Linked DNA regions of Lytechinus pictus. The protein of the gene in region 1 interacts with the protein of each later gene in a pairwise test. Links are inferred from orthologs where the notes say so. Each region holds a gene or a part of one and is shown on either strand. Other genes may lie near its edges.

The links.
Region 2: the proteins of mediator of RNA polymerase II transcription subunit 8-like (region 1) and multifunctional methyltransferase subunit TRM112-like protein interact in binary tests that used the Drosophila melanogaster proteins (3 or more experiments, as listed by UniProt). The link is inferred for Lytechinus pictus from reciprocal best matches to the Drosophila melanogaster genes MED8 and Trmt112.

The regions. Positions count from the first base shown.
Region 1 is NC_087255.1:17,119,797-17,131,763, reverse strand, and holds the start of mediator of RNA polymerase II transcription subunit 8-like, read right to left. Parts: upstream 4,936-11,967; 5' UTR 4,818-4,935; coding exon 4,812-4,817; intron 2,667-4,811; coding exon 2,548-2,666; intron 2,053-2,547; coding exon 2,018-2,052; intron 1,790-2,017; coding exon 1,680-1,789; intron 183-1,679; coding exon 42-182; intron 1-41. UniProt on the Drosophila melanogaster protein: Component of the Mediator complex, a coactivator involved in the regulated transcription of nearly all RNA polymerase II-dependent genes.
Region 2 is NC_087251.1:25,024,426-25,034,019, reverse strand, and holds the start of multifunctional methyltransferase subunit TRM112-like protein, read left to right. Parts: upstream 1-4,495; 5' UTR 4,496-4,639; coding exon 4,640-4,738; intron 4,739-8,539; coding exon 8,540-8,641; intron 8,642-9,241; coding exon 9,242-9,334; intron 9,335-9,594.

The DNA of each region.
Region 1 (11,967 bases):
ACAAATTGAAAATTGAGAAAGTACATGCAGAAAGTGCAAACCTTGGCTAGTTCAGGGGAAATCTGCGCAGCATCTTTGGACAATGTCTGCTCCTTCTCCTCACTCTCTGGTTCTGGCTTTGTACGGAGATAGTTTGGAACTACGTCATGGTTGAAAGATGGCACACGTCCCTCTGTTACTTTCTACGAAGGATTGAAAAATTAACAAATAAATGAAACAAAGCATGTAAAGAGACAATCCAATTTCTGCATTAGAAAGTAACTATTGCCAAAGTAAAGAGGTGGTATTTCTATAGAAAGTACTATATCGAGACTTGGTCTACTATGTTACAAATTGCCTGTTGTCATTAGAGACATTAAATCTGCAAGCAAACTTGCAAAAAAGGGCAAGAATAGAATAAGAAAAAAAAATGAAGGAAACTTAAAAATAGCTACCCTGTCATTAGACAGGCCTGTACAAAAAAAATTGTTACTTGCCCTGTCGGGCAAGTGATGAAAAAGTTTCTTGCCCGATAGAAAAAACTACATGCCCAATTTGTTTTACATTTTTTTATTATGACGGCACTACTCTTATTTTTAAAGGTCATACAAAATAACAATTGAGAATCATGTACAGTATAAAAGAGCACACATTTAAAAGTTTATTTTCAGCAACATAGCCTGAGTCATTAAGTTTATTTTGATTTTTTTTTCGCCATTTATAAATGGGCGTATTCAGCTCTTTATTGACACTGAAAAAGATCGTTTTATGATGTAAAAAAAAAAATTTTCAAAAGTGGAGTGGCTAAAATTTCACATTTTGCATCTTTAAATCCATGAAATGGTCATTTATTTCCCATATTTCCTTGAATTTTTTTAATAAATTAGTTGGAAACTATTAAGAAAATTAAGAATATTCACCTGTCTCTGTCTTTTCTTCATCATTTTATGATGTTACACTGGATCAATATTTGTTTAATTCTAGTCCCGCATGTAGACTTTCATGGGGTTTTTTTTAAACAGTTTTGATCGTTTTACACTTGGTCAACACCATAAAAGTCTACATGTGGGACCACAATAATAAAGAACATTTACCGAGTGTAACATCATAATAAATCAGAATCAAGAAAGAGAGTCAAATAGGGCTGAATATTCTTCATTTTTTTCAGTAGTTTCCAACTAAATCAAAACAATTTCAAGGTAAAATGGAAAATAGATGGCCATTTCATGGATTTTTGCAAAATGTGAAATTTTAGCCACTTTTGGTGTTTTTTTGTTGTTTGTTTGCATCGGCAAATTGCGCAAGATAGTAGCGCATGCGCAGTCATTGCACACATAGAACGCAAGATGCAATGGCATGGTTTTTCAAACGAGGTACCTGGCGATAAATTATTGGTAATTGGCGCTGATTTTACATCAGTTTCCACTGTTTTTTATTACTGGTTTGACATAATATGAGTGAGAGATAGTTGTGATTATCCAAAAGATATTGAAATTTAAAGGGTCTACTGGTATTTTATTTCCAAAACAACCACTTGTCCGATCGGGCAATTGACTTTGAGAAATGCTTGCCCGCACGTCCTTTTCACTTGCCCCGGGCAAGCGGGTTTGTCGCGCCCTGCATTAGACTTAGTATCAATCTCCACTCCTTGTGGCGTATTCCACCAATGAAGGTAAATGTTTGTGAAAGCAAATGCATACCTCTAGTTCTTCATCTCTATCTTGTGATAGTTTGAGTGGGAGAATGATCAGGTTCTTCAGTGCTGGAGTCTTATCACTCTTGAGATGCCGATGTAATGTGTTAATCTGACCTGTAATTTGAAATAAGATATTAATTGCTTTATTTATTATGCTACCATCTTAAAACCAAACAGAATATTACAAACATGATATTCCAAAATATAACACAAAGCAAAAAATTATTACATTCATATTATACATTGGCCTGCAACCAAAGTTTTCAATAACTTTGCTAGAGTAATATCATCTTTAATATGAACGGAAATTATAGTAATTTGACCAATGAAAAAAATACATACCTGATAATAGAGCAAAACTGTTGAGAACAGATGGCCTGCAAAGACAGATAGATTAATAGAAGATTTAGACTATTTTCCCTACAATTTTTCGGAGAAAATACTGTATCTACAATGCGGTCATACCAATTAAAATAGACAGGAAAACTTTGAGATTCCATTTTGGATATTCATGTCTTTAAATTGAACAAAGTCATGCATTAATTTACTTTTTTTTTTTGATTCAATATATTGGTTTAAAATTGAAATACCGGTACTTAATTTATTATACATGTGGTACAAACGGAGCATTTTATTAGCACATTAGCTATACTTGGTTGATTTATTTAATTATTTTCTTTTAAGCCATTATTTTCTTTTAATAAAATCAACATATTGTAAGGGTGCAAACTGTAGATTAAGAAAAACAAAGTTGTGGCTGAGAGCTTTTAGCTGTGAAAATATTATATACCCATTTTTTTTTCAATTTCTTTTGGTTGTTTGTTTTCTTTTTTTTTCATTAGTATTGTCATAATGCTGTCGTGTTAACTTACCAACTGAGAGTTTCATGATGATGTTCAAGTTTCATGAGAAGGTCTGTTAGGGCCTTCTTCAAATCGTTGACTCTGCTCGAGATGTAATCCAAAGAATTGTCCAAAACTTTGTCTTGATTCTAAAATTAAAAAAGAAAAAAATGACGGACGCGTCCGTAACGTTGGGGAAGAACAATAGGAAACAAGATGGCGGCGTAAACATCGGGCAAGTCTCTTCCGTCTTTTTATAATATTTTTCTCATTTTTTGGATGAATTCTTGTTTAAAAATAAAATTGATAGCGTAGAAATGTTGGAAATGAAGTTGTATCCCATGCGCATGATTTAGGGCTAGATCTTTTAGAAGTAGAAATCTCAGGGGCGAAAGTTTCAGGTTTTTGGCCGGTACGTGCAGATGAATGGAAAGGAATTCCTGGCTTCATGGAGAGTAAGTATACGTTAGTAAATTATTTTTACTCTCTAGAAGCCTCCTGCCCTGGCTAGGCGCATGAAGGTTGATAGATAAATAAAATTCACCTCTACAAACCGATTTCACCTTTTAACTATGGATTTCCTAGGGAAATCCATCCGGGTGTGTAGGTCTTACTGCAGCGTCTATGGAAAGAGTGTCAAGGCTCCATAATGAAGAAGTATATGTCAAAATATTTAAAAAACATCATCATGGAGTCCTCAACTTCAAGGCTAGGCCTACTATATATCCGCATACCAGGGGCCCGTTTCTCAACACCGTCATAAGTCTAACTTCTTGACTAAATCGGAGATAGTGAGCTACTTGTCCGCTAACCGTTTCACGAAGCCCTCTTTACCAAGATCGGGTACAACAACCTCACTAAATATTTATGACACCTCCGAACCTGTCATAACTTCTTTCTTAATGACGTAGTGGCATCACGTGGGTAGACTATGACATGCAAAAGCGCATAGAAATTTTAAAATCATAATCTTACGTAATCATCATAGAGGTTGAAGTTACATCACAAAACAAGTGGGTTAATGCATTCAATGATAATTGTAATACAAAGAAACTATAAAAACTATTGGTAAAACGCCACAAAACCATTCATTTTGAAATAGTAAAATGATTTAATCGATAAATATTCTACCACGTCAGGCCATCCATAACTGAACTCGTATTTGTTGTTTTCAGACCCCTATTAACAGTTGGATAAATTCTATCTCTAATTTATGCATATAATTTGTCAAATATCGTATGTTCCGGTATGATGGTATTAATGGTTAAAAATGTTTTGTTGAACTATATTTTGATGACGTTCGGAATCGTAAAAGACCGCATAATTATCATCATTTTACAAAGAAAACCGTTATGGTTTACTTTCGTAAACTATTAAAATTGGATATCCCGGGGGTACCCAATCTCAACGTCCACAAGTGATTTTTTAGTCATGAAATGAATTATTCATAATTTCATTTTCTCTGCAATTGAATGCTCAAGTCTTCATGGTCTAAGTATGTATGATGCATAATTCACCTGTGCTATTATTTTGAAAATATTTATTTCCCAATTTATCACAATATTTGCAATTTTGTCATAATTTTTCTTTTTGAATATTAATGCTATTTTGTGACTAAGGCTACGTCTCGTCTGCTCTTTCTACCGATAGTATCGATATCAAGGTATTCTAGTTAGGAAACTTTTCGAGAAACAGATTTAGTAAGATTGGAACTAACTCCGTGGTTGGTGGATAAAGATATGACTAACTTGTCCATGTGTTGAGAAACGGGCCCCAGAGTATACTAATTACTTAGTATTGTAAATTTGGACTCAAAAAGTTTCGCAAGACTCGAGGGAAAATATTCTTGGAATGACGTGGCGCAATTTTCAAACGTAATATATAATTTAGACTAACGTTAGATACCACAAAAAAATTTGAGGCATCAGTCATGTCAGTCATGCCATCACATTTTGGCATTTTTTGCGGTAGAAAAATTTGATATTTTATTACCCATAATTCCTCAACGGTTGGACGAATTTTCTTTTTTTTTCATTTCTAATGCAAAGACCTTTCATTTGATGTATCATTCGCCAATATTAATTATTATCTTAATTTGGGGGTAACCGTATAGGTTACTTGAACTTTGAAGTTCAACTTACTTACTTGCAGTTGCACTTACAGTCAGATTTGGAGACGCAAATTTAAACGAAAGGGACTGGAATTAAGTTTTAGGGAAAATTAGACTTCATTATGGGACGTGTGCCTCCTAAATTCCATAAAATAAAAATATATTCTATTAATTCCGACTTTACCTGCATTTTGAAGAAAATGATATCGCGACACCACTTCAAAGAAGCCTCTTTTTGAGGCAGTTTATCAGGGCTATTTTCCTTTTCTTCAAGCGTCAGATGACAGTCAACAAACGCAGAGGGCGTCCACACTGATCTCGTTTAAAGCTATGCCCCCCCCCCCCCCCCCCCCCCTGTACGCCAGTGATTAACGTAGGAATTGAAGGGTCCATACAGGCAGGGCCGTAGCCAGAAGCATTTTGTTGGGGGGGGGTGTACCAGCTAAATTTGCCAACTACATTTGGCGTGACAGCGCCAACGTGAGCACAGGGCAGATGGGGGATGTGCCCCCCCCCCCCACAATAATCACATGCTAAAAGATTTTGAATTTTTAGAATTGAATTAGTGGCATTTGGTGAATACTTTAAGGTAAATTATACAAAAATATACAAAGATATTTGCACTGTGAAAATAAACATTTTGGATCAAAATAGAAAGGCTATAGTGTGCCGATGTTGCTAACTTGCAGTATAATGCCCCATATGCATTAATAATATGAAAATCAAAGATTTGTTAATTTTTAATTGACCTTCTGTGCAAGATGTCTCAACTGAAATTTCAAGAGTGCTAAGTACTGCTAACAGTGGCGTACCGTGGGTCACGGCATGGGGGGGGCACCAGCAAAAATTTTGAGTCATTAAGTGGGCGCGCGAAGCGTGCTCAATTGCCAGGTATACTGACCTAATAGAGACATTTTAAAACTGTGCCATTAAACGGATATGTATCTTAGTGATCAAATAATGCGAGCGCGAAGCGCGAGCTGAAAATGTTTGATATTCAGTCCTAAAAGGGACATAAGCAAAGTTTTGTAATCATGATACGTACCTGTCTCACAAAACAAACAATGCGAGCGCGAAGCGCGGGCTGAAATTTTTTGTTTAACTTAACCCTAAAAAGAGACATTTTAAGGACTATCTTTTGGAATTTATGAAGTGCGTACGTATCTCATCATAGTCATCTAATGAAAGCGCCAAGCGCTTGCTGATTTTGTTAGAATTACACTGGTACATGAAGCACTTTTTGTGGTCATTGTAATCATTAACATGATACGTATTTCACTAATGAAATATTGCGGGCGAGAAGCGCGAGCTGACAATTTTTTCAATTTGGACCTTCTATGGCTTGTTTGTAGGAATTTACTATTTCACTAATTAAGTGATGCGAACGCGAAGCGCGAGCTGAAAATTTGTTATAATTAGATCAGAAAAGGGAACATTTTAAGGACTGTCTTTAGGAATTTGTGCACTGCAAAAACGCCAGTGTTGATTTAATACCAGCCCGGTATCTAAATCGGTCCACACCAATGCGAACGTAAGCACAGACTGGAAATGTTTTATTAAGGCCTTAATAGGGGGCAATCACCTTAAGTATATAGTCATGAAAAAAGCAGATGTCACTTCATAAAACAATAATAACTTGAAGTGCGAGGAGATAATTTGGTGCATAATCTTTATGGACTTAAAATACAACAGGACTATATATCTCATTAGTCAGACAATGCGAGCACCAGGAATGATGCAACCCCAACCTGCCCCCAATCCCACCCATCCCCACCCCAAGCACATTCTGACACCATAAATTAAAAAAAATTCTTCGGCGACATAATTTGTAAATATAACTTAGAACATTTTTGTGTTTTTTGCCAACTGCAAACTTGTAGACAAGTCTACAAGTTGTAGACTTGTCTTCATGAATTTGCCAACTGCAGAGTTACCAGTTTTTTAGTGTTGTGTTCTGTTCTTTTCAGATCTGAAACGGGGCAGTACTTGTACATCACTTTGCTGACTGGTAGAGCGCACTGGCGTAAATCCGTGTTGATGGGTGGGGGGGGGGGATGACTGAAATATTTTGGCATTTTTTTTGCAATCATGTTTTTAGATATGCAAGGAATTGCCATTGATATGTCCACAGTGGCGTACCGTGATCACGGCATGGGGGGGGGGCACCAGCAAAAATTTTGAATCACTGAGTGAGTGCGCTATAGTGAGCGCGCTCAGTTACCAGTTATACTGCCCTAATAGAGACATTTTAAGGACGATGTCATTAAACTGATATGTATCTCACTGATCAAATAATGCGAGCGCGAAGCGCGAGCTGAAATTTTTTTCATATTCTCTCCTAAAAAGGGACATTATAATCAAATTTGTGTAATCATGATAGGTACCTGTCTCGCTAAACAATGCGAGCGCGAAGCGCGAGCTGAAAATTTAGATAATTCAGACCGGAAGTGGGGCATTCTAAGGTTTTTTTTTTAAGAAATAACTAGGACCATACGTATTTCATTAACCAAATGATGCGAGCGCGAAGCGCGAGCTGAAAATTTTTGATATTCAGATCAGAAGGGACATTTTAAGGACTGATTTTAGGAATTTATGAAAAGTAGACATATCTCACCAATCCACTAATGCGAACGTAATCACGGACAGGAAATGTTTCATATATACGAAGACCTTTACATGGGGCAATCACTTTTTTAGTCGTGAAAAAGAAGCATATGTCACTACATAAAACAATGATAACTCAAGTGCTAGGAAATACATTTGGTTTATATTGACTTGAAAACGGGATGTTTTAGTACAACAGGATTATATATCACGTTAAACAGACAATGCGAGCACCAGGAACAATGAAGACTTAGGCCCTGGGCAAATTATGTTTCATAAAGTTATGATAAATATGTTTCTTATGTAATGTAACATAACATAATTATAATATAATATAACATTATAATGAATAATATTTTCTTCTTTCCCAGTACGTTTCTCTTCCTTTCTCCCTCTTTTCTCCTTTCCCCTTTCCCCGTTTTTTTTTTTTGGTCAGCCGATGGGGGGGGGGTGTGCCCCCCATGCCCCCCGTAGTTACGCCACTGTATGTCCATATGGCAAATACCCCTCCAATATTATTATCTTTTTTACCCCATGATGGTTTAATGGTTTTATTAGAGATTACATTCAAAAATTTTTGACATTCCATCTTAATCCCTTCCCAAAGACCCCAACATTGATGAATTGGAAGAAATGGGGGTTTCTCTTCAATGTTATAATAAGGAAATAAGTATTTCGTTTGGAAATGGTGAACTGGCTCTTTATTTGCATTTTATGATTCAATAATATTGTTTTATTTGTTAAGCGGTATTTTAGGAAGAATTTTCACCAATAAAACAATTATCTCTTGTGATTTTTTTTTCATTACTTTCTTAAAAAGTGGGGGGGGGGGATGTTTGTACAGGCCATCCCCCCCTCCTCGAAAAGTGGGGGGATATATCCCCCCATCCCCCCCCCCCCCCGGATTTACGCCAGTGGTAGAGCGTATAGTGTTCTGCCACTTTAACAGGCCCACTTTATAATTTGCCAACTATACTTTGGCTTTGATTATTCAACTTAAACCTTGGAAATTCATCCCAACCCATATTTATTTACCTAGTCTTGCCTCTAATTTTACAAAACTAATGTGTTTGTTAAATCGTCAATAATTGTGGTATAATTTGCAAACTCACAAGCTTGTTTATATTGGGGGAGGACCGGGGGCTTACTTTGTGTGTTATTATAGCTCCAAATAATTTGTCCTTTGTATTTTGCTGACTAGTAGGGCTCTAAGCCTGGCTACATGGACTTGGATTTGCCAACTGGTTGTCTTTACTCTAAAAGTCGTAACCTTCTTCGAAGTTAGTACCCCTATTTTTCTTTCCTTTTTTTCTTTCTTTCTTTCTTTCTTTCTTTCTTTCTTTCTTTCTTGCTTTCTTTCTTTCTTTCTTTCTTTCTTTCTTTCTTGCTTTCTTTCTTTCTTTCTTTCTTTCTTTCTTTCTTTCGTTCTTTCGTTCTTTCTTTCTTTCTTTCTTTCTTTCTTTCTTTCTTTCTTTCTTTCTTTCTTTCTTTCTTTCTTTCTTTCTTTCTTTCTTTCTTTCTTTCTTTCTTTCTTTCTTTCTTTCTTTCTTTCTTTCTTTCTTTCTTTCTTTCTTTCTTTCTTTCTTTCGTTCTTTCGTTCGTTCTTTCTTTCTTTCTTTCTTTCTTTCTTTCTTTCTTTCTTTCTTTCTTTCTTTCTTTCTTTCTTTCTTTCTTTCTTTCTTTCTTTCTTTCTTTCTTTCTTTCTTTCTTTCTTTCTTTCTTTCTTTCTTTCGTTTCTTTCTTTCTTTCTTTCTTTCTTTCTTTCTTTCTTTCTTTCTTTCTTTCTTTCTTTCTTTCTTTCTCTCCCCCTCTCTCCTTCTTTCTTTTTTCTCTTCCTTTCTTTCCCTCTTTCTTTTTCTCCCCTATCCTCCATTTTGCCAACTGGTACATGATTTTGCCGACTGCCATGAATGTTGGGGGGGTGTCACACCCCCCCCCCCCCCATCAGCGGCGTAACAGGGGTCGGTGGCCAGGGGGGGCAAGAGCCAAAAATTTCCCGGTCATATCATGGAACAGGCAATGGCGTCATAAGGCAAAACATTTGAGGGGGCGATATGGCGTATCGCTCAAATATATATATATAAGCGAGCGAAGCGAGCGAGCAAATCTTTTTGACATTTTTATTGCAAAAATCCAATTTTGTGATAGATTTTGACATAATGTTAAAAACATGATATCATATTTCACCCTCCTCTCTTTCCTTTTTTCTCTCTTTTTTTGTACGCCACGGTGAACAGGATTTGTGTTATGATTGTCAGCATCAGGGCGAAGCTCTATATGCTCGAGGGGGCCGAGTATGGCGCTTTTGGCAAGAAGTAGCTTAATATAGGTCCCGAGCGAGCGAAGCGAGCGAGATAAAAAAAAAAAAACCTTTTCATGAGAATCTAACATGAAGATAGATTTTAACGTGATATTCAGAAAAATATAATACACTTTCCTTTCTTTCCTCTTTTTTTTGTTTGGTTGTAAAACTTTTGGGGGCCATGGTCCAACTCATCCATATAACAGTGCTTTATGGGTGGGGTCCAGGGCAGAGCCCCAGAAAAAAAAATGGCCTGTTAAAATGAAATTCTAATTATGTGATAGATTTTTACATCATTATAGCAAATATCATGTCATATATTTTTTTTCATTCATCTCATTTCGCTGCCTCCTTTATTTTCTTTTATTTCCCCTTGGCTGTGGAACCACCCCCTGGTACGCCAGTGCTTCAACGTAAAGCTTAATGCAGGTCCATATAGGGGCCCGTTATAGAACCCATAAAAGGTTACAGATGAAGAGCCTCCACTGCACGGGGTCTTGACTCTAGGACAGAGCCTTTGGAGATTTAGCAAGTTTATGATAGACTTTCGTACATTATGCTATATACCATCCATTTTTCTTCCCGCTCGTTATAGTGTATAGTGTACGTTATTTTTTCCCTATTCTTTATTTTCCAATTTAGATTTGGCTAATTCCATTCTGCCTTTTTTTCCCGCTTTTGTTTGCCTTTTTGTCATCTTTAATTTATTTTCCTGTCTTACTAATCATGCTAATGTATTATATCGGGGCGAATTGTTCTTTCTCACTTGTTCTTTTTCCTTCCTTTTCCCGTTATCTTTCCGTTTTCCCTTTTTTTATGTTTTTCTTATTTTTCTTTTCCCTTTTCCTTTTCCTTTCCCCTTCCCTTTCCTTCCCCTTTCCCTTTTTCTCTTTTCTTTCCTTTCCCTTTCCCTTTCTTCCTCCCTTTTTTTTCTTTTTCCCGTTTTTTTTTTATTTTCCCGGTGAGCTCCGCCAGGGGGGGCAGCTTGCCCCCCCCCCTGCCCCCCCGCCTGTTACGCCACTGCCCCCCATACCCCCCCCCCCCCCTCTAGCTATGGCCCTGCATACAGGGGGCGTTATAGAGCCCTTTGAAGGTTACAGATGAAGCTGAGTGGGGTCTGAGGCAAAGCCCCAAGTAGCTTTGGAGATTTAGCCAATTTAAGTTATGATTGCGACCGTTATTGCATAAAATTTAGCAAGCATAATTACATCACAATTTTGCATACATGCAGTCCACGGTCCACCTTTCTTCATTTTCAATCCTCGGCAGCCCGGTCGTGTTATTAAGTTCCCCTTTAAGTTCTTCTTTCTTTTTATTTCTTGTCCCTTATAGCTTTTGGCTCATTCCATTCTATCTCCTTTTCCCGCTTTTGTTTGCAATTTTGTCATCTTTTAATTCATTTCCCTTTCTTAATCATGCTAAATAGTAGAGCTATTTCGGAATGGTTTAATTCTTTCTCACATATTCTTCTTTCGTTCCTTTTTCCTCTTTCCTTCCGTTTTCAATTTTTAATGTTTTTTCCTCAGTTATCATTTCACTATTTAATTATATTTCCCTTTCCTTTTTCATCCTTTCCTCTTTTCTATCGCTCGCTCTTGTTATTCTGCCTATATTTTCCTCCTTATCCTTCATCTCTTGTGTATTCATATATTTAATCTAATCCTTATTGTACACGATCTGGTACTTTTTTTGCATAATTTGTATGTCTCATCCTTTTTCTCATATTGATTCTTGGACTTTGTATTTTTTTTTTTAGTTCTGTGATTCTTGTAATTGACGTTAATGTCATATTGAACACATTTTGTCTTGTGATAATTTTGTTTATCTTATGTTATGTACCATATTTGTTGCTTTATTGTATCATGGTTTTGTTGTTATATTCCACACTATATGCTTATCCTCGGTATCGATCTTTTTATTATATTGTACAAGCTTTTTGTAATTCGGCTATGTACTGCGATGCAAGTTTTTATCTAAAAAAAACATTTTGAATTATATCCCTTTCCCTTTCTTTCTCCCTCCCATTTTTCTTTTCCCGTTGAAATCGGCCAGGGGGGCAGCCTGCCCCCCCCCCCCCCGCCTGTTACGCCACTGTGCCCCCCTTCCCACCAGATTTTATTTGCTCTTTTCCTCTTTGGGGGAGGCACTGGCGTACAAATGGGGGCTTCTGGGGCCATGGATCCCCCCAACAAGATTAGTTTAAAAATCAAAATTTTGCTCGCTCAATAGAAATGTTGGTCCACTCGCCCGGGTACCCCATGTTCGGCTAATAACGCCGGGGGAGGGGTGGGCACTTTTCAAAATTGGTTCACAATTAGTGGTGCATCACCTTTATGACTTTATCTCTCTATCTACCTGTATCATACTATTTCTATCTTTAGGCCTATCTATCTATCTCTATATCTATCTATATATCTATCTATTTATCTATCTA
Region 2 (9,594 bases), on another chromosome or scaffold:
TAAATGAGATGGCACATTGTTAAATCAAGGTTGTAAGTTATATGGACATGGAGATGGTGTTAGTAAACAAGATATATATATATATAACACACATGCATATACATATTTTTTCCCTTTCTTCCATTTCTTCATCTTTATTCCTTTTCCTTTAATTTCTTCTCCTTTTCTTTCCATTCTTCTTTTTTTTCTTTTTTTTCTCCTCCTTCCTTTCCTTTTCCTTTCTTTTCCCTTTCATTTTCTCTTACTTTCCTTTGTCTTTCTTTTTTTTCTCTTCTTCTTTTTTTTCAAAATGGATAATAACCGGGGATAATAAGCTCTACTGAATACAAAGAATATAACCTAGACTAGTATCCCGTAATTAGTAACCAACTGGAATAAAATTATTGGAAATGGTTTTTTGACTGATTTGAGTAGGTATGGGTGTCAACATTTACCCAAAAAAAGTTAGGAGGAATACGGGTTGGGGAAAGTGCTTTTTTTCAAGGTCAAAGGTCAATGACCTTTTTAAATATACTGTATCATGGTAGCTCCCAGATAAAATATTACAGGTTGGTGATCATGGTGTCAAAATGCACAGATTCTTACAAGAAGATCAAATAAAATCAAATCAAGTACCTACAATGCTCATTCACCCATGAAATTCAAGGTCAAAGCCTTTCAAAGTTCAATGACCTTTATTACATTATATACCATATACGGTATAATGGTATCTCTGAGATGAAAAGGTTTCAGGTTGGTGATCTAGGTGTCAAAATGCAGAGGTTCTTACAGGAAGATCAAATAAAATCAAATTAATTACCCAGAATGCACATTAAACAATAAAATTCAAGGTCAAAGCCTTTCAAAGGTCAATGACCTTTTTTCTACATCATATACCATATACGGTATAATGCTATCTCTCAGATGAAAAGGCGCAGGTTGGTGATCTTGGTTTCAAAATGCACAGATTCTTACAAGAAGATCAAATGAAATCAAATCAAGTACCTACAATGCTCATTCACCGAATGAATGAAATTCAAGGTCAAAGCTTTCAAAGCTCAATTACTTTTTTTTACATTGTATACCATATACGGTATAATGGTATCTCTGAGATGAAAAGGTGCAGGTTGGTGATCTTGGTGTCAAAATGCAGAGGTTCTTACAGGAAGATCAAATAAAATAGAATTAAGTACCCAGAATGCACATTAAACTATAAAATTCAAGGTAAAAGCCTTTCAAAGGTCAATGACCTTTTTTACATTATGTATCATACTGTATAATAGTATCTCTGAGATGAAACGGCACAGGTTGGTGATCGTTGGATCAAAATTCCCAGATTCTTACAGGAAGATCAAATAAGATAAAGTTAATCACCTAGAATGCATACTAACCCATAAAGTTCAAGGTCAAAGGTCAGTGACCTTTTTACATAGGCTATATATCGTCTAAAGGTATCTCTGAGATAAAACGCTGCATGTTGGTGATTTTGATGTCAATTCAATTTTTGCAAGAAGATAAAAAAGACTCAAAATAATCATACAGAATAATCCAATATCCAAAGTCAAAGGTCAAAAGTTGATAAATATTTATATATCCATGCATGATTCCCCCCAAAAAGAAATTAATCCATTATATTCACATTTTATTTGTGAATAATAGAAAGAAAGATAACTATTTGTAATGAACACTTGGAAGTCTAATAATTTCACTCTGAAAGAAATAAGGATAAAAAATGGCCATGGAAAATATATTTAGGAGTTAAAGGTCAATCAACTATGTCAATAGCGTCAGGGAATTTAAGTAAATAGGTCGATATAACGTGATTGTGGCATGTAGGTATAGTGATTCTGATGGGAAAAAGACTGACCTGCGTGGAAAAAGAACACAAATTTAATAGTTGAATCCTTGACCAATGATGATGTCAAAATACAAGTTCGAGGTACAAATTGGATCAAATAGCACTTTTTCTTATAATATACTGTAATGCATTGACAAAAGTGTTTAAAAAAAATCATGTGTGATATAATTTGAAATGGTGACAATGGTGAAGTTACCTAAAGTAGCAGCATTTAGATATGCATTTTATAAATCTAAATCAAGGTACTAATTTCTCTGTAGCAATAGGTCACTAACCTCAAATGCTACAATCAATACTATAACACTATAACTTAATCTGTAAATGGAAAGGATAGGCCTAAGTCTCATGGCAAGCATCATCCGAGAACATTTGCATATAGCCAGGGACAATGACGAAGAATTAAAATAAGGCAATCATTAGAGCTGCAGCTTTTTTTGTCATAGATGAAGTTAAGTGTCTCAACTTCAGCAAAGAGTAATTGGACTCTTGAAAACCTTCTGACATTTTCAAGACTTTGATATGGCCCATTCAATGAAAGCCTAACGTTCTGTCAAGGGATATCAGACCAGGATCTATATTATTACTGATAATTGCACAGCTTGATTCTCAAGAACTGGAAGTGGTGCTATGAGTTTTGTTAGGTCGATGGATGTGTACTTGTAAGCTATTATCTCCTTTTGAATGGCATTGTTATATGCCTAATTTGTGCATGCTAACAATCAGTTTTCTGGACCAAAAACATGATCCTTGTACAAACTGATACCTAGTAGAAATAGCATCATGGGTGACGTACGGCAGAGAGCAGATATGAAGGTTTGTCTTGCAGCATTAGCATCACAAGAGATTCTGGCAGCTCGCAATGAACTGATGAAAGGTACTAATAATACGGGAATTTACCTTTGTTGAAGTTGATATATATATAATTTACTACATGTATATGACAGAAGCTGCAGCTCTAATGATGGCCTTCATTTCATCATCATCCCTCTGCTGTTTGGAAATGCTCTCAGATGATGCTTGCTGTGACATGAGAGTTAGACCTGTCCTATCCATTTTCAGAAGATTAAGCTAATAGTTTATAGTATTTATTATAGCATTGAGATGAGTGGCCTATCGCTGGAGAGAAAAGACACGACAACCTTGATTTAGATATAATGATGCATTAAATGCTGCTACTTAAGATAAAAATCATTTCAAATTATATACTTGATTTCATGTATTTTTTCAGTGCTTTTGGCAATGCATCGCAGTATATGAAAAAGTGTTATTTGGTTATCAACTTTTTAAACTTCATTTCCACTGATATTTTGGAAAGGGCTCATTGACCTCTGACCCCAAAATACATTCTCCATGGCCTTCATTATTTCAGACCGAAATTATGAAACCTCCATGTTTTCATTACAAATTAGCCATGGTTATTTACATATTATTCAGATATAAAATATGAACACAAAAGATATTGTTTTGGGTTATTTTTACATCATATAGATTATATATTTCTTCTGATCTAGGATTTCAAGGGTGAAAGTTTATTCTTTATACTTATTTTAGTGTTGTTTAATCTTCTTGTACAAGTCTTTGGATTTTGGCACCAAGATCACCAACCTGCGGTGTTTTATCTCAGAGATACCATTATTATCATCTAATGTTAAAAAGGACATTGACCTTTGTCCTTGAATTTTATGGGTGAATGTGCATTCTCTATGCTTAATTTTATTTTATCTTCCTGTAAGAATATGCGTGTTTTGACACCAAGAACACCAACCCGCACCGTTTTATCTTAGAGATACAATTATATAATATGGTATATGTAGTATAAAAGGTCATTGACCTTTGGCCTTAAATTTTATGCGTGAATGTGCATTCTAGGTACTTAATTTTATTCCATTTGATCTTCTGGTAAGAATCTGTGCATTTTGACACCATGATCACCAACCTGTGCTTTTTCATCTCAGGGATACCATTATACAGTATGGTATATAATGTAAATAGGTCATTGACCTTTGAAAAGCTTTGACCTTGAATTTTATTGGTGAATGTGCATTCTAGGTACTTAAGTTTATTTCATTTGATCTTCTTGTAAGAATCTGTACATTTTGACACCATGATCACCAGCATGTACCTTATCATCTCAGAGATACCATTATACGGTATGGTATATAATGTAAAAAAGGTCATTGACCTTTTGAAAGGCTTTGACCTTGAATTTTATAGGTGAATGTGCATTTTAGGTCATTAATTTTATTCTATTTGATATTCTGGTAAGAATTTGTGCATTTTGACACCATTATCACCAACCTGCGCCTTTCCATCTCAGAGATACCATTATACAGTATGTACGAAAAGGTCATTGACCTTTGACCTTGAAAAAAAGCACTTTCCCCAACCCGTATTCCTCCTAACTTTTTTTGGGGTAAATGTTGACACCCATACCTACTCAAATCAGTCAAAAAAACATTTCCAATAATTTTATTCCAGACTCAGAGAAGAGAGATATATTATTCTAAAACAAACAGAACAATGACCATCGTCTATGTGGCCTCATACTCATATAAAATACATATATATACACAATTACACACATATGTATCTATATGAACAAATAAGTAATTAGATACTAATCAAATAGATATTTTTCTCTATTTCCTAGTCTGAGGTATAGACTAGTTTATGTATCCCATCGTGCATTACGGTTTAAATATGGCAGCCCCCATGTCAATTGAAATGTAATGCATGCATGCACGCAATTACACGCGCATTACCATTAGATACAAGATTTCGCATCGTTGTCGTTGACGTTAGATGAGATCGACAGTAGTTAGGACAATGAAGTTACTTACACATAATATGCTGACTTCTCATGTCAAAGGAGTGAAAAATGGATACCCTTTAAAAATAGAGGTAAGATACTAAGTCAAGACTAAGATCTGAAGTGAAGATTAAACAGTTAAATAAGATTAAACAGTTAAAATAGATCTAACTTTATTTTTAAGTACCGGTAGGCCTAGACCAAAAGCTTCGGTCTGTGTTATGTTGGTTGTTCAGCTGAACTCCGTTGGCTTCACTCACCAAATACAGAGACCGAAGTTCTAGCGCGATCTGTACAGGGGACTCAATGGCCATATGTTTATGTACTTAAGATCGGATAAAACGAGGAAGTGAATTTGCGCGACAGCCGAGGTAAGTCACTGTTTTTGTTCCTTTTAACTTGATTTTTCTCCGTTTTTTGGCAATTGATGCCAAGAGGGAATATTAATTTGCATTTTGGTCGCGTGAATTTTCAAAATTTTTACTCATTAAAGACAAAAATTGAAGAGCCCCGACGGGGGGATTTTGCATTGCAAGTCCCCTAATGGTGGCTGCACGCTAGCGAGCCGTCTGTGTATGAGGAGAAATTAAAAAAAAAAAAAAATGTTAAAAAACTCCTCGAAACAGAGTAACAGACGGCTGCCAGCTGTCTACGGTAGGCCTAGAATAGATCTAACATTAAAGTTAGAACCTAACGTTAGTTAATAGTAGTGCAGACACAACTGTATTTTTCCAGTAGATGCGGTATAAAGGTATTAAAGGCATAAAGACTAAGTTTTAAGATAAGAATATAAATTTCAGAAAAGACAGAAGTGAGACTGCATCAGGGTGACCAGATTTCACAAAGTGAAATACAGATTACAGGAGAATCGACAAAGGTCAAAGCACGCTGCACAAGCGGATCGACCGAGGCCGAGCCAGGTCTTAATAAAAAGAAGATCAACAAAGAAGGCTACACTGTACACAGACACAGTGTTAGACTTGTAAGTTGTAAAAAAAATAAACAATTGGAAGGGAGGATGAACGAAAGAATGAAGGAGAGAAAGAAAAGAGATGAATTGAAAGAAGAAAGAAAGAAAAAAGGGAAAATGCAGGAAAAAAGGAAGTTAGAATAAAAGAAGGATGAAATAAAGAATAACAGAGATTAAAGGTTTCCGTCATTCTTTGAATTGAAAAAAGAAAAAGAAAAACTGAAAGAAATGGAAGATGAACAAATGTGTGAAAGAATTAAAAAATAAAGGAGAGAAAGGAAAAGGGTAAGAAAAAAGGAGGAAGCGGAAAGAAAGAATGGAGGAAAGAAAAATGTTTCCTTCAGAAAATGAAAAAGAAACAAAGAAAGAAGAAAAACAGGAAGGGAGGGAAAGAAAGAAAGAATAAGGGAAAATAATTAGAAGGGAAAAATTAAATAAAGAATGAAAGAAAGGATGAAACAGAGGGAGGAGAGAATGAAAAAAAAAGTAATGGAACTAGTAGTAGTAGATTAGAGAATGAACAAAGATAAAAAGGAGAGGAAGGGAGAAGGAAGCAAAGCAAAGTTTAAGGAAAGAAAATTAATGAAGTAAATAAAAAAAGTAAATTTAAAAAAGAAAGAAGGAAAGACAGAAAAATGAACAGAGATAGAGAGAGACTAAAAATCAGGAAATAAAGATTCATGGAATGAAAAAGGGGCAAGAAGAAAAGAACGAAAGAGGAAATAGTTCAAACTTCTATATATATATTTTTTTTTATAAAAAAAACCTAAAATGTTTAAAAAATGAAGGAGGCGCGATAGCTCAGTCAGTAGAGCGGGGGTTTCGGATTCCGGTGACCCGGGTTCGATTCCCAAGTGGTGCGCTAGTGCCCTTTGGTAAGGCATTCATCCTCATTACCAGGTCCCTCTGAGAGGACCTTAAGCCGATGGCCTCTGGTTACTTGCTCACAGGCATTCGTGCTTTCTTAGCAGTCAGGTGAAAACCTCGGTATAACAATAAAATTTCAAAGTGAAACATTGTCAAATTTAAATATTAGATGAAACAACGCAGCATGCATCACACACAAGGAATCTCTCTTAGGCCCATCCCATTACAAGATCGCATCGATCACAAGACTCAAAACAAGAGCTGAAACAATACTAGATCAATATAATTATGAAAACTTGATAACTTGTTCCTCTGATTACATCACCAAATCAGTAATATAATATCATAATAAAAATTCCCCGCCGATTTTGTGATGATTTTGGTGGAAAAACTGTTTATCATGTGAGATTGTTTGCACCATTGAGAATCTGCTCCGATCCACCATGCCGAGCTAGTAGCCTGCCACACATTCATTTGCAATGTATTCATGGTGTTGAGTTAGCAAGAAAATCACCGCAGAACTTGCACAAGTTTACAGTTATCGATTTTATTGTTATCTCTGCCCCGATCTCTGCTTCGTCATCTGTTGGTTATTTGATGAAAATTCTCCACTTTTAAATATATTAACTATATTTTGTTCAATATTCTGAAATACGGGGACAAATAGGCATCCCGTGAAGGATTTGTCGGGACGCCGGGACAAAGGAGCAAAATACGGGACGATCCCGGGAAATACGGGACGTCTGGTCACCCTGGACTGCATGGAGTTGGACTGAGTGAGACTGAGAGTGAGACGTCTTCTAATTTTGTAAAGTATTACGTTAGAACTAACGTTAGAACTTTTAGAAGAACAAAGTTAGGCCTAGCCAGGAGGCTGAGTCCTGGTAAAGAGTAAATATCATTCACCAACGTGTGTTTACTCTCCACAGAGCTCGCCGCCAGCGCCAGGGATTGCGTCCTATTCATATACGTATAGTCTACCGCGAAAAAAAATGACCGGGGTATACTATAGTATAGGGTCTATCTGCAGATCTGTGAATGTAATTGAAAACATGGTATTACTATTGGTAAAGCGCTTAGAAGTTAAGAGATGTCGTTCCGATGTAGAAGTAAGCGCTGGACTATATAAAAGCGGAATGAAAAATTGTTCCCAGGGCCCGCCCCTGTTGGAAGGATGTCACCAGCACGGATGAAACAAATGGCGGTGAATCTGGACTGGTGACTTATTTTATTTCATGATGATGATAATGCCAAATGGCATGGCAGTAGATCAACAGACCAGTACATGCAGTTAGTAACTAAATAAGAGGTGCGGGTGGGATTGTTTTTTCACATGTTCAGTGAGGAATAAATCTTTGCTTGACATGACAATGAGGTGAAAATGAAAATATTTCATATTTCATATAATGAAATACAATATAGTGAGTGGGTGATGCTGTCAGTCCTCTCATTTTATGCATACCGATCAGGCCAGGATGTGCATATAACTGTTTTGTGAATTTAAGCGAAACTTTAAAATGACATAACTTTCTATTTCTATGAAAATTTTCAGAGTTATGCTTGTTGGATTTTTCTCCTTTTATTCAAATCAACTTTTTATTAGAATAGACTTGTCCGTTTAATTGCTGTCATCCCATAGTTGTAATACGATACCCCATGATTAATGAACCATCCACTGGATTGGTATTGGCATTTAACAGGTGAATGAACCTTTTTTTAGATTTCTTGTGAGGAGAAATAATAATAAAAGAAGATAGTACTACTAGGGATGATTCTCATTTTCAGACCGGTGCCTCTACTGTAAGAGCCAACCGTAATTTAGACGTACAATTAATTTTCTGTAGAATGCTATGCCCTCTATGTTGTTGCATTGAATTTGAATTTCTAAATTAAACCTATGAAAATGTGATAATATGCATTCAGCGAAAGAAAATCTTTGAGTGTTCTTCATCTGAGCTGAGGGACTGATACTGCACAACTGTTCTCAAGAAGCAAGTGCTTATTACTGTTCTCTTTGACTTTGTAATACAGTGTATGTTCATGTTTGCTATTACAGCCTGAAAATACAAGGACGCTGGAAGTTGAATTTAACCCAGACTTCATCGCTAGAATGATTCCAAGAATAGACTGGACTGCCCTTTATGATACAGCATGCAGCGTAAGTCGTTTTATTTCATAACATGTCCAATATCCATTATGTTTTTCTTTTTCATATTTTCACTTATCATTTTCTCTGCAACCAGAAAAAGATGTAGGCCTACCGTATCATACTCACGTTTTTATACTTAATGAAATGATGAAAACCTGATGATGTATTTAAATAGTGCATACATGTAGTATATATGTTTTATAACCCACTCATATGAATGATTTACAAGAGGATACAGATCTTTTGCAGTTCAAATACTGTATTAAAGAACATACGTATATCCTGATGTGACATACATAAGAATTAATCATTAATGGTAACAGTCCCTGAGTCAATGCACTTTCATAGAAGCAACCACATGAAGGTTGATTGCATGAAAATAGAATATTGTTATTCACTACTTCTAGAAAATATTGGGAATTGGGTGTATTATGATTGTAATACATTTTTTTTGGCAAAAATTAATGTTAATGTGAAATTTCTTTAAATTTCTTTCTTTCTTTGTTGTTGTTGATATTTGTATTATCAATGGCCTCTTTCTTTTCACTGTGTAAGTTTGCATAATGTAGTTAGCCTACAGTGAGCATATGTTATCAATATATTTTCCAGCTCAATGTGAATGGTAACCTACCTCCTCAACTGATAGAAAACTATGAGAGTGATGAAGAATTCTTGAAAGAAGCTCATAGAGTGTTGCTAGAGGTAAGTTTACATAGCACCAGGTGTAGGTATATTAAATAACCTGGACCAACTGGTTAGTTAATGGCAGATAAAGCTAAATACGAAGCAAACTTCGAGGAATGATTGTGCAACTAAAATAAGCTACGGCCAAGAGGCCAACACCAGCTGGCATATGTACTCTTTAAACATCCATAATATGATTAGAGCACCGACATAGTTCATATCTAATTCATTCTAATTCTTTAACTGAAAAATTCAGTAAATAATTAAAATCCAGACTT